2 linked regions of the Astyanax mexicanus genome follow. The protein of the gene in region 2 purifies or fractionates together with the protein of the main gene of each other region. This does not show direct contact. Links are inferred from orthologs where the notes say so. Each region holds a gene or a part of one and is shown on either strand. Other genes may lie near its edges.

The links.
Region 1: the proteins of carm1 (region 2) and smarcc1a purify together in Homo sapiens (affinity purification with western blotting; 3 studies listed by BioGRID and IntAct, with this or other methods). This does not show direct contact. The link is inferred for Astyanax mexicanus from reciprocal best matches to the Homo sapiens genes CARM1 and SMARCC1.

Annotation. Positions count from the first base shown.
Region 1 is NC_064408.1:129,661,284-129,668,647, reverse strand, and holds the start of smarcc1a (SWI/SNF complex subunit SMARCC1), read left to right. Parts: upstream 1-4,360; 5' UTR 4,361-4,375; coding exon 4,376-4,576; intron 4,577-6,273; coding exon 6,274-6,393; intron 6,394-7,364. UniProt on the Homo sapiens protein: Involved in transcriptional activation and repression of select genes by chromatin remodeling (alteration of DNA-nucleosome topology).
Region 2 is NC_064426.1:9,726,416-9,733,355, reverse strand, and holds the start of carm1 (histone-arginine methyltransferase CARM1), read right to left. Parts: upstream 3,047-6,940; 5' UTR 2,965-3,046; coding exon 2,823-2,964; intron 1-2,822. UniProt on the Homo sapiens protein: Methylates (mono- and asymmetric dimethylation) the guanidino nitrogens of arginyl residues in several proteins involved in DNA packaging, transcription regulation, pre-mRNA splicing, and mRNA stability.

The DNA of each region.
Region 1 (7,364 bases), on a different chromosome or scaffold from region 2:
GTTAGTTAGCTTGGTTAAATGTGTGTTAGTTAGCTAGGTTAAATGTGTGTTAGTTAGCTTGGTTAAATGTGTGTTAGTTAGCTTGGTTAAATGTGTGCTAGTTAGCTGGGTTAAATGTGTGTTAGTTAGCTGGGTTAAATGTGTGTTAGTTAGCTGGGTTAAATGTGTGTTAGTTAGCTGGGTTAAATGTGTGTTAGTTAGCTTGGTTAAATGTGTGTTAGTTAGCTGGGTTAAATGTGTGTTAGTTAGCTAGGTTAAATGTGTGTTAGTTAGCTAGGTTAAATGTGTGTTAGTTAGCTAGGTTAAATGTGTGTTAGTTAGCTGGGTTAAATGTGTGTTAGTTAGCTTGGTTAAATGTGTGTTAGTTAGCTTGGTTAAATGTGTGTTAGTTAGCTTGGTTAAATGTGTGTTAGTTAGCTAGGTTAAATGTGTGTTAGTTAGCTTGGTTAAATGTGTGTTAGTTAGCTTGGTTAAATGTGTGTTAGTTAGCTAGGTTAAATGTGTGTTAGTTAGCTTGGTTAAATGTGTGTTAGTTAGCTTGGTTAAATGTGTGCTAGTTAGCTGGGTTAAATGTGTGTTAGTTAGCTGGGTTAAATGTGTGTTAGTTAGCTGGGTTAAATGTGTGTTAGTTAGCTTGGTTAAATGTGTGTTAGTTAGCTGGGTTAAATGTGTGTTAGTTAGCTAGGTTAAATGTGTGTTAGTTAGCTAGGTTAAATGTGTGTTAGTTAGCTAGGTTAAATGTGTGTTAGTTAGCTGGGTTAAATGTGTGTTAGTTAGCTTGGTTAAATGTGTGTTAGTTAGCTTGGTTAAATGTGTGTTAGTTAGCTTGGTTAAATGTGTGTTAGTTAGCTAGGTTAAATGTGTGTTAGTTAGCTAGGTTAAATGTGTGTTAGTTAGCTGGGTTAAATGTGTGTTAGTTAGCTTGGTTAAATGTGTGTTAGTTAGCTGGGTTAAATGTGTGTTAGTTAGCTTGGTTAAATGTGTGTTAGTTAGCTTGGTTAAATGTGTGTTAGTTAGCTTGGTTAAATGTGTGTTAGTTAGCTTGGTTAAATGTGTGTTAGTTAGCTAGGTTAAATGTGTGTTAGTTAGCTAGGTTAAATGTATGTTAGTTAGCTAGGTTAAATGTTTGTTAGTTAGCTTGGTTAAATGTGTGTTAGCTAGCTAGGTTAAATGTGTGTTAGTTAGCTAGGTTAAATGTGTGTTAGTTAGCTAGGTGAGGTGTGTTAGTTAGCTAGGTTAAATGTGTGTTAGTAGCTAGGTTAAATGTGTGTTAGTTAGCTTGGTTAAATGTGTGTTAGCTAGCTAGGTTAAATGTGTGTTAGTTAGCTAGGTTAAATGTGTGTTAGTTAGCTAGGTTAAATGTGTGTTAGTTAGCTAGGTGAGGTGTGTTAGTTAGCTAGCTAAGTTGTGTAGCTAGTTTGTATGTGTGTTAGTTGTTTTTTTTTGTGTTAGTAAGCTAGCTACGTTAGCTAGTTTAGATGTCGGTTAGTTAGCTAGGTTAAATAATCCTCAACTATTAGTAATTAGTTACCATGTTTCTCAGTTTATAATACTGTGATATAATCTGCATTAACTTCTTAAGAAGAACACAGCAACTCTTCAGTTATTAGTAAAGGGTTACCATGTTCTGCTGTTCAATTCTGAGAAAGTTGTGTTATGTAACACGATTTCCAACAAAATAAGGATGTAGGACACAGCCTACAGTAAAGGTTTATGAGAGTTATCACTTCTACTGAGCACAGGAGGACTGAAGTGGAGCACAATTTTATTTTACACACCTGTAACACTCACAGAACATTACAAAAATGTGGATTAATCAGATTACTGCACCTTCCAGTGTTTAACATTTGGAAGATATTGATGATTTTAAGATAAGTAAGGTTAAAATATGACAAATGGTGTCACTGGTTCTATTATCACCACTGATATTAGAGAATAACCTGCAGCGGCAGATAAACACACTGTGAAATTACCGTAATTACCCTAATAATGCGCACAGTGCGCTCTGTGATACTGCAAAAAGAAGATGAAGATGAAATTGTATAAGGTTGGTGCTTAATGTTAAAGCAGTGATCATTAAAACAAAATGTATTACAGTCATTATTAAGGTCTTAGATGCTTTCTGGAGAACATATGACCCATTTTTACATGTATAAAATTTGTGTCTTTTTGTCATTGTTAAACAGAAAACTTTTGATTAGTGGCCTGACTTGTTAGTTTGAAATTACCTGCTAAATAAAAGACTTGTCCAGAATTCCGAATCTCTCACGAATGTCAGACATAAAACTAACTTTACCGCAGTACTCGGTGGATCTGTTTTGGTAGCAAATAATATTTTATATCAGTATTGGAAGAGCACAAACATGCCAGATGTTATTTGTATAATATGCAGAACATCTTAATGACACTAAATGGATGCAATGCTCATTTCTCCCAGCAAGAAGATCTAAACACACCTTCTTTCAGGATAATGGAAAAATTATATGATCATTATTGTAATAACAACTATATATTTTTTATTGAAAAAACTTGTTTGATAGAAAAGTTCACACTATTTTCATTCTTCATTAATGACATATATAATATGCAATAACTTTTCTATAAATGAATTTTATATTACTTTAATTTTCTGTTATTTAAAGAGGTAAAATCACTGAAACTAAAACAATAGTGTTTTATTAATATAATAGCATTAGTAGTTTTTTTATTAATGATTATAATAGTCACTGACAGAGCGATGTTCGTGTGAACAGCTAACCTGTTCTCCTAAACACCTCAAGTTACTAATGAATGTGTTATAGGTGGAGTTTCTGCAGATCTTCGCTATCTCAAGCTATTAACCCTGTTAGCTAACAGGAAGCTGGTCTCAGCAAGCCCCAGTGCCTAGCTTTGCTAGCTTTAGCGTATTAGTTCTTATAAAGTAGCGCTTAGGTCCGGTAGCTTTAGCCTTTAAGCTCTTATGAGTATTTTAGAAAACATTGCCACATTTTAAAAGTGATGCAAAAAATTTTTTTAGCTGTATTGTGGAGAAAAATCTCTCTGACACACATGTTGCATTGCTTCATTATTTATTGCTCATATTTTTCCAAGAGCTGATTGGGCTGAGCAGTGTGCCTCTGATAGCGATCAGACACAGATGATTAGATGTTACCAGGGGGCGTAATTACTGATCGAGTGATTTAAATATTGTGAGTGTATGTAATGCAATTTAATGTAATGCAATATTATGTCTGGAGCCCATAAAGGGACATCATGTAAAAATAAAAGCATGACCATGCCTTATTAAGGCGTGGGAACGAGATCCTAAGGCGTGGGAACTGGATAATTAAGGAGTGGGGATGAGATCATTAAGGCATGGGAACGAGTTCATTTAATCTAGCTGAGAATAATAAAGCTTGCTTTTCTGTAAATTAATGCTCATGAAGAAACTGTATATTACATATTTAATCCAAATATAATCTTTAGTAAGAAAATGGAGAGTGAACTGGTTTATTTTTATTCTAAATAAAGAAAAATAAGGAAATTAAGAAATTATGTTGATATTTTGGAATAAAGTAAAAGACACTTAATTTGCATACTAAAAGCTGATTGGCTTAGACGCATACAGTAGAGCTGCTCGCTTTGTTAGCTGTGAAACAAAAGGACCTTTTGTTCACACCTTAATAGCACTGTTTTAATTAATTCATTCCCACGCCTTAATGATCTTATTTCCACACCTTAATTATCTTGTTCCCATTCCTTGGGATCTTGTTCCCACACGTTAATAAGTTGTGGTCGTGTCTTAATGATATCATTCCCACATCTTAATTATCCTGTTTCCACGCATTAGTATCTCATTCCCACGCATAAGTATCTCGTTCCCACACCTTAATCATCTCTTTTTTACATGATGTCATGTTAGGGGCTCAGTAGTAATGTAATGTATTAAAGTGTTATTGTGCGCTGTTAATTTGGAATCACTATACCAATTTAAATTAATTTACCAAGTTAATTAAGGCACCAAGTTGGCTGTCCCCCACTCAAACATACAAGTATATACTATAATTTTAATTGACACCACTTATATACATATAATTGCATTTTACATCTCTTGCATTAATTATTTATTAAGTATCATTAATTATCTTGCATTAATTTAAATATCCACTATAAAAATTCGCGTCTGAAAAAAAAAACCCAAATGCGATTAATCGCAGTTAATCACAGAATTTTGTTGTGATTAATCGAATTATTTTTTTTAGCGTCCTGCTGCAGTTTCTCTGCTCCGCCTGTGGGGGCGCTGCCGCGTGTGAGCTCGCGGGGCCTCTCGCGCTCGGCGGTAAAGCAGCGCAGCGCGCGGCGAGGCGCGGATTGCAGCGAGTGGAGCGGCGCGAGGATGGCGGCGACCGGTGCGGGAACAGCGGGGGGAGCGGGGTCCGGCGGGGCCGGGACTGGAACCGGCGGGGCGGCGGGAGCCGCGGGTGCCGCGGTAGGCAGGAAGAAGGACGGCGGACCGGCGGGGAAGTTCTGGGAGAGCGGGGAGACCGTGGCGCAGCTGGAGGCTGTGCGGCAGTGGATCAGCAAGCACTACAAGAAGGTTAGCGGCTAATGCTAATGCTAACGGTCTGTGTAAAACCCGTGCTGGAGCTAATGCTAGTGTAGCTAATGCTAACGTAGCTAACGCTAATGCGGCCCGTGGCGCGCGCTCACACACAATAACACAATAGAGCTCGCGAGGAGCTAAATCACACACTAACCCGCTGAAACACACAGTTTTACAGCGTTATTCGCGTTTAATCAGCATTTAATCAGTTTAAACCGCGCACAACTCTTTTATCTATTAGTTTATGGTCGGTAATAGTTTGTTTTTTTATGTGTTTTAAAGCGTAAATCTGCTTAAAAACGAGCTAAAGTACGCTAAAGCTAAGCTAAGCTAACAGTGTTTTGGTGTGTAGTGGCGGCTAAGCTAACGGCTGTTACTCTATCTAACCTGGTTTATTATAATTTATTCAAGTTTAATCCACTTTAAATCCTGAAATAATATGAAATAAGCTGATATAACGCTGCCTGGGCTGTTTTATATCCAGTGTGAATTAAATATCTGCTGGTTTTAGGGGTGTTTATGATGGTAGACGGTTTGATTCATTGTGTGGGTGAAGTTTGTTTCTCTGTTTCTGGGGTTTAAATATATAATAATAATATTTATCACAATATAACCGGTCTGATTGTTTGTTTTTTAGTTCTGTTAGACGAGTTAAAGTAATTTAGCCGTGCTGGTAACTAATTAATGAAGGTTAATCCGGGTTAAAACAATAGTTTAGATATTAGACGACAGTTAGTATAGAAAATAATGCAAGAAAAAAATCAGAAAATGTGAAATTTAGAATGTGAGGTGCATAAATGTTGGTGAAAAAATCCCTACATTTACTTTTTTTTAAGTATTTAGCAGACCATATCCTCAGCGACTTACAGAAGTGTTTTGTTGTTTACTTTAAAAATATCCACTACTACATTACTATGTCATGTAAGTATTAAAGTAGTAAAGTATTCGTGAATATGGCCTCTGTATCACGCTTGCAGTAGTAAAGTAAAACTATCCTTTACCTCTTAAACACATTAATTAATGGCTTTTAGTTTTTTGTTTGTGGAAGCCATATTTAAAAACCCTAATTTAAACAATGGTTTGTAACCTCCACTTGAACTCTAATATTAGAATTACTGAGTGCCAAGTAGGAAATTTTAACTGGAATGCCCCCTGATTTTCTATGTAAAACACTGACCTATGGCTCACTATATATCTGAATTTTAAACATTTATTCATTTTGTTTGTTAAAAAAAAAACTAACTTTTGAGTTCCATGTTCGATCTCCTAATATTCAGTTTTTGATGTATTTTTTTTTTAAACCTTTTCAGTATTGGTATTGAGATACTTATGCAGGTATAATAATAAGTCAGACATTTGGTATTCCATTCCATTACATTAATAATATCTGGTTTAGTGAACACATTGTCTGAACATAGCAAACAAGCTAACTACTTCTAACCTCATTTCCTTCTTCCCCTCCTTTACTCCTCTATCCCATTATTCCCCTTTAACCTCCTTTAGACCCTGTCTAAAGATGTTTTACCTTTAACTTCTATAACTTTTCTTTTACTGTACTTCACTATTGTAAGTCGCTTTGGACAAAGGCGTCTGCAAAATGCAATATAATGTAAAGTAATATACACATAGCTTATTAAAACTTTATGGCTGCCGGTTCTGAACGTATGGTTTTGTATTCGTATTTTCTGCAGCATGTCCAGGCCGACTCTCCATCCTGTAAGACTCTGGCAGGGCTGGTGGTGCAGCTGCTCCAGTTCCAGGAGGACGCTTTTGGACGAAGAGTGAGCAACCCGGCCCTCACCAAACTGCCCGTAAGTGCTTTTCTGCAGACGCTAATTCCACGCTGTTTATCGTACATTTCTTTCCTTGTGTGGCACGATAAACTCAGGTCTGCAGAGTTAGCTGAAGTGATGCTTTATTGTTATTAGGGTTGCACAAAAATCTGAACTATACTGGGTATTCTAGATGGTTTACACAGAGTTTTGCAGACTTGTTTATCGTATGCTTGAAAAAAAAAAAACAGTGTTGCTGGCTGCGTTACTACAGGGTTCCCGCAAATGTCTTAAAGTCTTAAAATGTCTAAAATGCAATACCTTAAAACATTTAAATGCATTACACTAAATTATTTCATTCAGAAGTCAGTACTGAAGCCTGCATGAGCACTGCTCTACAATTTGTCTATAAAATATCTACACTGGCTGTGCTACTTTTAAAATCCAGTGGTTTAAGCTTATATATATATATATATATATAATGTGTATATACACACTCACACACACACACAATAGATCTATTCTAATTTAATAGAGGGTTAAATTTCGATAAATGTGAAAATTCATAAACTATTTTCTTGAGAAACCTTTCACTTTAATGTTTGTGTACAGTTGGTTGAAAGCTAAAAATGAAGGTGTATATAACATGTTGGCAACTATAATCAGGATTTAAATTAATTTTTTCTTCAGTCAGAAATGACTGACCTGTCCTCCGCTCTTTGCTTACGCCCACTGGTTCCTTGGCCTGCACTAGATGGATTGTGACCTCAGGTGTTCAAACATTGCAGCTGCATAACATTTCTTAAACAGAAGATGAAATTGTGTTTTTCCACAATGCACATTGTCAATTTTTTTTCATGGTGATTTCAGCGCAAACGTCCTGTTAATAGCAGGGTTCGTACGGCCATGGAAAAACTTTGAAGGTTTTCCAGACCTGAATTAGTTTTGGAGAAATTAAAATACCCAGAAACCTTTGAAAAAGTCATGGAAATTTGGTCTACAAAACTTGT
Region 2 (6,940 bases):
ACGGCACTTCTTCCCAAACAAAAGCAGAGACCACTGAATGAACAGGCGGGCAAGAGGCGAGAGGGGAGGCAGGGGGACTGGCTATTGTCTTCCAGTGAACAAAGATGAGCGTCTTAAAGCACAGGCTCAGCGCCCTGCATGTTATAAAGCTTAACAGACCTACTGAAGAACATTTATATCCATCAGTATTTCTCTTAAGAAGCAGAGCAATGATGTGCGCCATCTGAGCTTCAACACCACAACACACTCAGTCCCACTGCCAGCTGGCAGGCGTTAAGCATTAGGCTTTAGGGTTACCTGGAGTGCTTTAACTTCAAACGAAACAGAGGGAACTCTGGGGAAATCATAATCTCTGGTTTAGATTTGAGGGGTGAGCTTTGTTTCTCTGTGTACAGCACACTCGTAAATCAGCTGAAAAGAAACAGAGTGCTGCTGGCTAACTTTATGACTTAACGCCAAGAAGCATAGGAGGTAAATCCATGTCCAAAGAGTGAAAGTCTGCCTCAGGATTTTGATCCAGCTTACTGGGGAGCTTTATTAGAATTTATCCTTGTGGGAAATGCCATTTCAATATTGACAACTATAATGGACACAAGTCGAGAAACTTTAAGTCCATCACAATTTATGAAAATGGCTTGAACCCTTGAACTTTTCTATCATCAACACTGAACATTCTATGCTGTCCAATGAAACTTCAATTGCTGGGATGTGTATTGCCAACAAAGCTCAGGGACTTTCTTTTTAAATTAGTGACCATCACAGCTTTCACATTTTAAGGCACCAAGAAATGTATACATTTTTTGCATTTATTTTGTTTCTGCTGCTAATACAGAAATTGTTTCTTTAAAATAACACTTTCCTTTAATTTGTCCAGTATTTTAGAAGTCTACAGTCATTTTAACTATCAATTTTTTTTCAGTGACCTCTGTAGCAGACAAATACTGCCTCCAATTTTATCCAGCTTCAAAAGATGCTGAATGAATTTTACTCAGAATTGTATAGGAAATGTCAGACTAATGCTGTGTTCTTGTGCTAGCTAGTCAGAGAAAAAGTCATACTTTGCACTTGTGAAATAAAAACCTACGAGCATGTCACATGCAAGGGTGTTTTTTTTTTTTGAGCAACATGAAGAAAGGAAGACAAGGTTTGTTTTTGCTGGTTTCTTGAAGAAAAAGGTTTTAGTAGAGTAGTCAACTTTGCAATGAACAGATTCATAAGCCCTATCTGGACAGGATTGGTTTTCTTCAGGGGTATGTCTGTGAAAAATATTTCACACTTTTACTTAGTGATAAAACTCTTGCGTCCGGACTGCAATTGAAAAAACTAAGACCATTGAGTTTTTTGGCTTTCTAGGTCACGTGAAATTGCGTTCAGTAGCTCCTCCATGTCCACTCAATGTTGTATTTATGTGGATCTCTGTGAGCCCAATGTGTAATTACAGTGGAGTGGCAGTGGAAAAATAGTTATTTTATTAAAAGCAATGTGACTAAACTCAGATGTGCGGCCGGACTGGAGTAAAATTACCGGAGGACCACGGAGTTCAGCGGAAAACAGTGGGAAATTCTGCGTGTAGTTTTCTCAGAGGACATCTGAGAAAAACACATACATGGTCGTTCCAGACGGAAATAAAATTACAGAGGACACCACATAAAAGAAAAAATTACCCCAGGACCTCCTGAGAAACGAATCCCATTCGGACAGGGCTATAGTCTAGAAAATGTGCAGACAACTGTTAACAGCAGCTGCACTTTTAAAATCCGCTACAGATTCTCTTTTTCTCAGAATTTCTCTGGAATTAAGTGTTCAGGAGGCTGTTTGTATGCAACTTCCAAATCAGTCAGTCATATTTCACATAATTCCAACAGCACATAAATGCAGCATTAGAGCTGCCAGGAGAGGAACAGGAGGATGGCTGAAGGCAGGACAGTAAGGCAGTGAGAGTAAAGGTGAGAGGTGGACCCCTCAGATTTCCAGTCTTCTGGTCACTCTAACCGTACTGGACACATTTTAGAGCACACAAACCAATGGGATGTGTCCATCCCTAGATGGAGGGAAAACTATTTTCACATTTCAATACCATTAGCTTTTTGTCCCCTACATTCTTAGACTAATCAAGACCCAGTGACCACTACAAGGAAAATAATATAAAAAATAAACAAAGATTTTTTTATTTTAACCATACCAGTTGTTGAACCATAATACTTAGTGAAATAAAAAAAATATATAAATGTTAAAAGCTGTTTTTCTGGCTCTTAGAAGGGCACAGCAAAGCTGCTCAAGCAGTTTGATCTAAATCCTGGGCTGGATTAATAGCTACTTTTTGGACCTGGGTTCAATCCGCACCAGCGCCAACCAGCATCAATAATAAGCTAGCTATGAGTTAGCATTGAGTGCTAATAGTCTACCAACGTGGTTTCAGTCGTGTGTAATAAACAGACAGTTTCCAGATACACAAAGTAAAAATCCACCGCGGTTTTTGTTCAAACCGCTATGACGGCTGTACTGCAACCAATCCGCCCATACAGTTGGAACAAAACCTGGGCTTGGATTTTTACTTTCTGGAGTTGGACTACCCATTGCTACACTTGCAGCTGCTTTTAGTCACACAAAGCACAGTTTCACACTAATTAAACAGCACAAACTCGAAAACGACACCTAACACACATACGTATCACCTCATAAACCAATATAACTAATATATTATATCTACAGCCTAAATATTAAACCCTGTAGCCCCGTTAGCCTAGCCACCGCTCGCTAACGCTAGTTAGCTAAGCGTGCCGGACACAAAGGCTGGACGTTACGGCGGAGCGTCCACTCACTGTTGGAGAGGTTGATCAGGGCCGCGTCCTGCGTAGTTTTCACCTCCAGGCGCAGAGGCTGCTGCTCCGAGTGCCGCTGGATATCTCCGTTCGCGTCCCCAATGGAGAGGAGCCGCACGCCGGGGAACACCGACACCGCCATCTTCAAGCTTGGGGGGGAAGAGAGCAGCAGCAGCAGCAGCGAACACGCAACCGCTCTGATCCGATCTCCCGCGGACTCGGCGGGGAAGGAAGGCCGGGCTCACTACCGCCCCCGCTCGGCCAAACCCTGCAAGACAACCGCGCTCAGGGCTGGATACTCGATACAATCGATACAAAGTAGAAACTGATGTTTTTTTTTTATTTATAAAACGTTTCCTCGTTTTTATAAATAATTACATAAATGTATCAACATTTCTCTTTGATTTTTTAAATGTATAAATAAAAAAACATACGTTAAATTGTGGGAATTAATCAGCATCAGAAATCAATGCTGTTTTCATGCTTTAGAGATGGAAAAATGAATGATGAGTGAACATACTTTTGCTATCTGGGAATGATGTACTAATTGTGTTAATTATTTATTAAATTGTGGAAGTTTAATTTATTACATTGTTGAAAGAATTTAATAGGCTATGTAGATTAGTAAAACTGAGGGAATAATTACTAAATTTAAGGCTGATTCAGTAAATGGTGGGAATAGTTTATTAACATGTTTATAAATGATCTGTTTCTTTAGAATTCCGGAATAATCTATTAAATTGTGAGATAAAAAAAAATTGAGACTAATTTACTAAATTGTGGGAACAAATTATTAATTTGAGATAATTATTTATTAAATCAGGTCTCTGTCTTTTAATATTATTTTTGGTAATTTGACATATGTTGCTTCTGTGTTTTTTAACCATTATTGCCATAAGTACCATTAAAATGCCATAGAATTGTAATGGTCCAGAAGCAGAATGCAAATGAATGTCAGATTTTTTTTATTATTAGCCCTTACAAAAAATAATAAAAATACTCTAATACTCTAATACTAAATACTCTAAAAGAACTCTAATAAACAAAGAAACAAACAAACTAAAGAAAACAAAGCAGAAACTTAGCAGGCACAAACATCAAAAGCATGACAGAGAACAAAGTAGATATGGGGTATATATACACAGCAGACATCCCAAGTTGCAAAAGTTGATTTCAGGGAGGTTAACCCCCCCACCCCCCACCAAAAAAAAAACAAAACAAAATAAAATTTGCACACCAAATCATATAGGAACTTTACTTTTATATCAATTAATTTTCCTTTTTTTTTTTTATTAAATTTAGAGTATTTAGAGGTGAAATGAGTTTTATCTTTTTTCTTTTTGGAAGGCCCTGCCTCAAGGAACACCTGGGGTAGTAAGGAGGGTTGAAAAAAAAAACAGGAGACAAGACAACAGCAAAACAGGGCAATGTGCTTAAAGAGCACATGGCTAGAAACACAGACAGGATCAGAAAGGACTAAGAAAGAACAAACGTAATTTGTGACCTTTGTTGGTGTTAAAAAATGACCAAGCTTATTTCCAACTCTGTTAGATTTCAGAATGATTTAGAATAAAACTGATTTCCTGAGTATAGTTGGTCCTTTGTCCAGTCATTAGTGTGTGAGATGAGCTAGTTGAGGGGATTGCAGTTGAGTCTGTTGTGGTTGGTCAGCTGTTTGCACCGCATATTGTTGCTGGGTAACCTGCTTAGTCAGGCTGGTGGTCATGCTGGTCATACTTGAGGTCTGGCTTGTTCAGATTGATCATGATTGTAGACCAGCTTAACCATAAAAAACACCCTATGCTGGTTAACCAGCTTAATTACAGTGGTTCATAATATTATCCAATATTACATATTTGTGACTGGCAAAATGATGTGACCTTCTAGGATTAGCAGTTAGTTTGAAGGTGAAATTAGAGTCAGGTGTTTCAATGGATAGTATGACAATCAGGTGTAAGTGAGAACCTTATTTTATTTAACAGTGATTTATTTAAAATGTAAGTCTGTATTATTTTGTTTCTAAACTGAAAGCAGAAGCATTTCTGAGTGGAGAAGGAAGAAAATATTGTGTTTGATGGTACCAGTGTGCTGAAACCACCGTCCCTGCTAAGCCTAATATATTCATTCTAAAAACTGGGGTGTCAGACCACTTTTTGCGGGAATTCACACTACAGACTCTAAAAGAGGATTCGGCGCAGTTTTATTGAATGCGAGTGGCTGGTGGAACAATGGAGACTTCAGAAGAGAAAACTCAGAGCTCAGTATCTCATATAAAAAACAAAGAAATGAAGAACATAACCTGGAATCGAATTCATCCACTCTGAAAGGAGACACCCACCCAGTTTAAAGTGATTCTTCCACATGCTTGGCGGAATTACCTATTCTCACCAGAGAGGGCCCTTAATCCCAAAACCTATGAACATCAGCTTTAAAATCTGCTCTTCACAACACCTTTATAGAAGTCTATTATAACACGAACAAATGTGATTTCTGAGATCCTTAGAAAAAGAGTAGTTGATGCTCATCAAGCTGAAAAAAGTTAAAAGGTTAAAAAACATCTCTAAAGAGTTTTGACTCTAACAATACACAGTCAGACAGATTGTATAAGGAGTGGTCAACCAATGGAAATGTTGTGAAAGGAACTGAAGTGTGCAGTTAATGTGAGGAAACGCACCAACATCCCAGATTTAAAGCTGTTCTGTACAGAGTAAAAAGCTAAAATTCCTCCAAGGCAGTGGAGCAGGACTGATCAAAAGTTACAGAAAATGTTTGATGATGTTTTAGATCATATTTATGCAGAATATTTATATAGATAAAAATTTAAAGGGTTCACAAACCTTTAAGAACCATTTTAGCTAGACTAGCTTTAGATGGGCAGGCTGTTTTTGGGCAGGGAATAGAGACCATGCCAAAACATTGTTTAAATGCCAAAAAAGTAAAAAAACAAACACATGAACATTATTATTTCATTTTATTGGATGTGCATTCACAGTGCATAGCTGTATATCAAGGCATCAAGGGGCTGACAGTTTACAGTGCATTTAAAAAGTAGAAAAACTGTAAAACCTGATCGTTCAGTATATAAATCCTATTATTTTGGCACACACCATGTAGGGCTGAGCAATATGGCCCTGTAAGGGGTAATAGTACCCAGACCTGCCAACCTTGAAGAAATGTGCTGAAAGTTTGGAGGAAAATTAAGTGTGAATAAAAGTAGTGGATGGCTCCATAATTAGTTTGCTGGAATAGTGTTTATGCTTACCGGCCATGTCGATAAACAGCATGACAGCACTATCATCATTATAAGGGCTCTGACTAAAGTTCGAAGCTAGCAGACGTGGGGTGGTTGGATGAACATGAAGTGCTCTGATTGGCTGAAAGCACTTTGCTTGTGTCAGTGACAACCTGACTGAAACTGGCAAACAATATGCATATTTTATAAAACGTATTGTACAAGTGTACTAGGATGTCAAAATGCGTGCACATTACACAAAATGTGAAAATGTTGGCAGGTCTGTAGTACCTCATAAACAGAGACATCAACACACCACAAAGAAGGAAGAAAATAGAATAATCATCCCAACATACCCAATACTCCCTCGGTAGTGTACTCTGCAAGTCATGGAATTGTGGATTGTGTCTAAATCTAAAAAATATATATTTGCAATAGAACAGTATTTACGTTTATTCATATGATAAAATTTAAAATATATGGCTATCTGTGTATACAAGGTGTAATTATTAGCATAGCGTCATAAACTAACAAAGCAAATTTCAGAAATTAAACATATTTTGGTTGATCTATCAGTTATCAGTCATGTCTATTAGTTTTTTTGCTTTAAATCTTCAAAGTACTTAGATTTTCAACCATGTGGTATACACAAAGTGATTGTTTAGGGTTTTAAAAAAGCAATATCATACCAAAACATGATATATGGTTTTGCAATAATATATTATTGCAATAATAGATTTGTTTAATTAGTTTTAATGGTTCATACTGTGTTGTGTTAAAATCCCACCCACTAGATAGCAGTGTTTTACTGTTATAGATGCATAAAGTAGTTTCCTTTAATTCACATTTTATTTATATAATAAGTGTGTGTTTTGATATACTATGA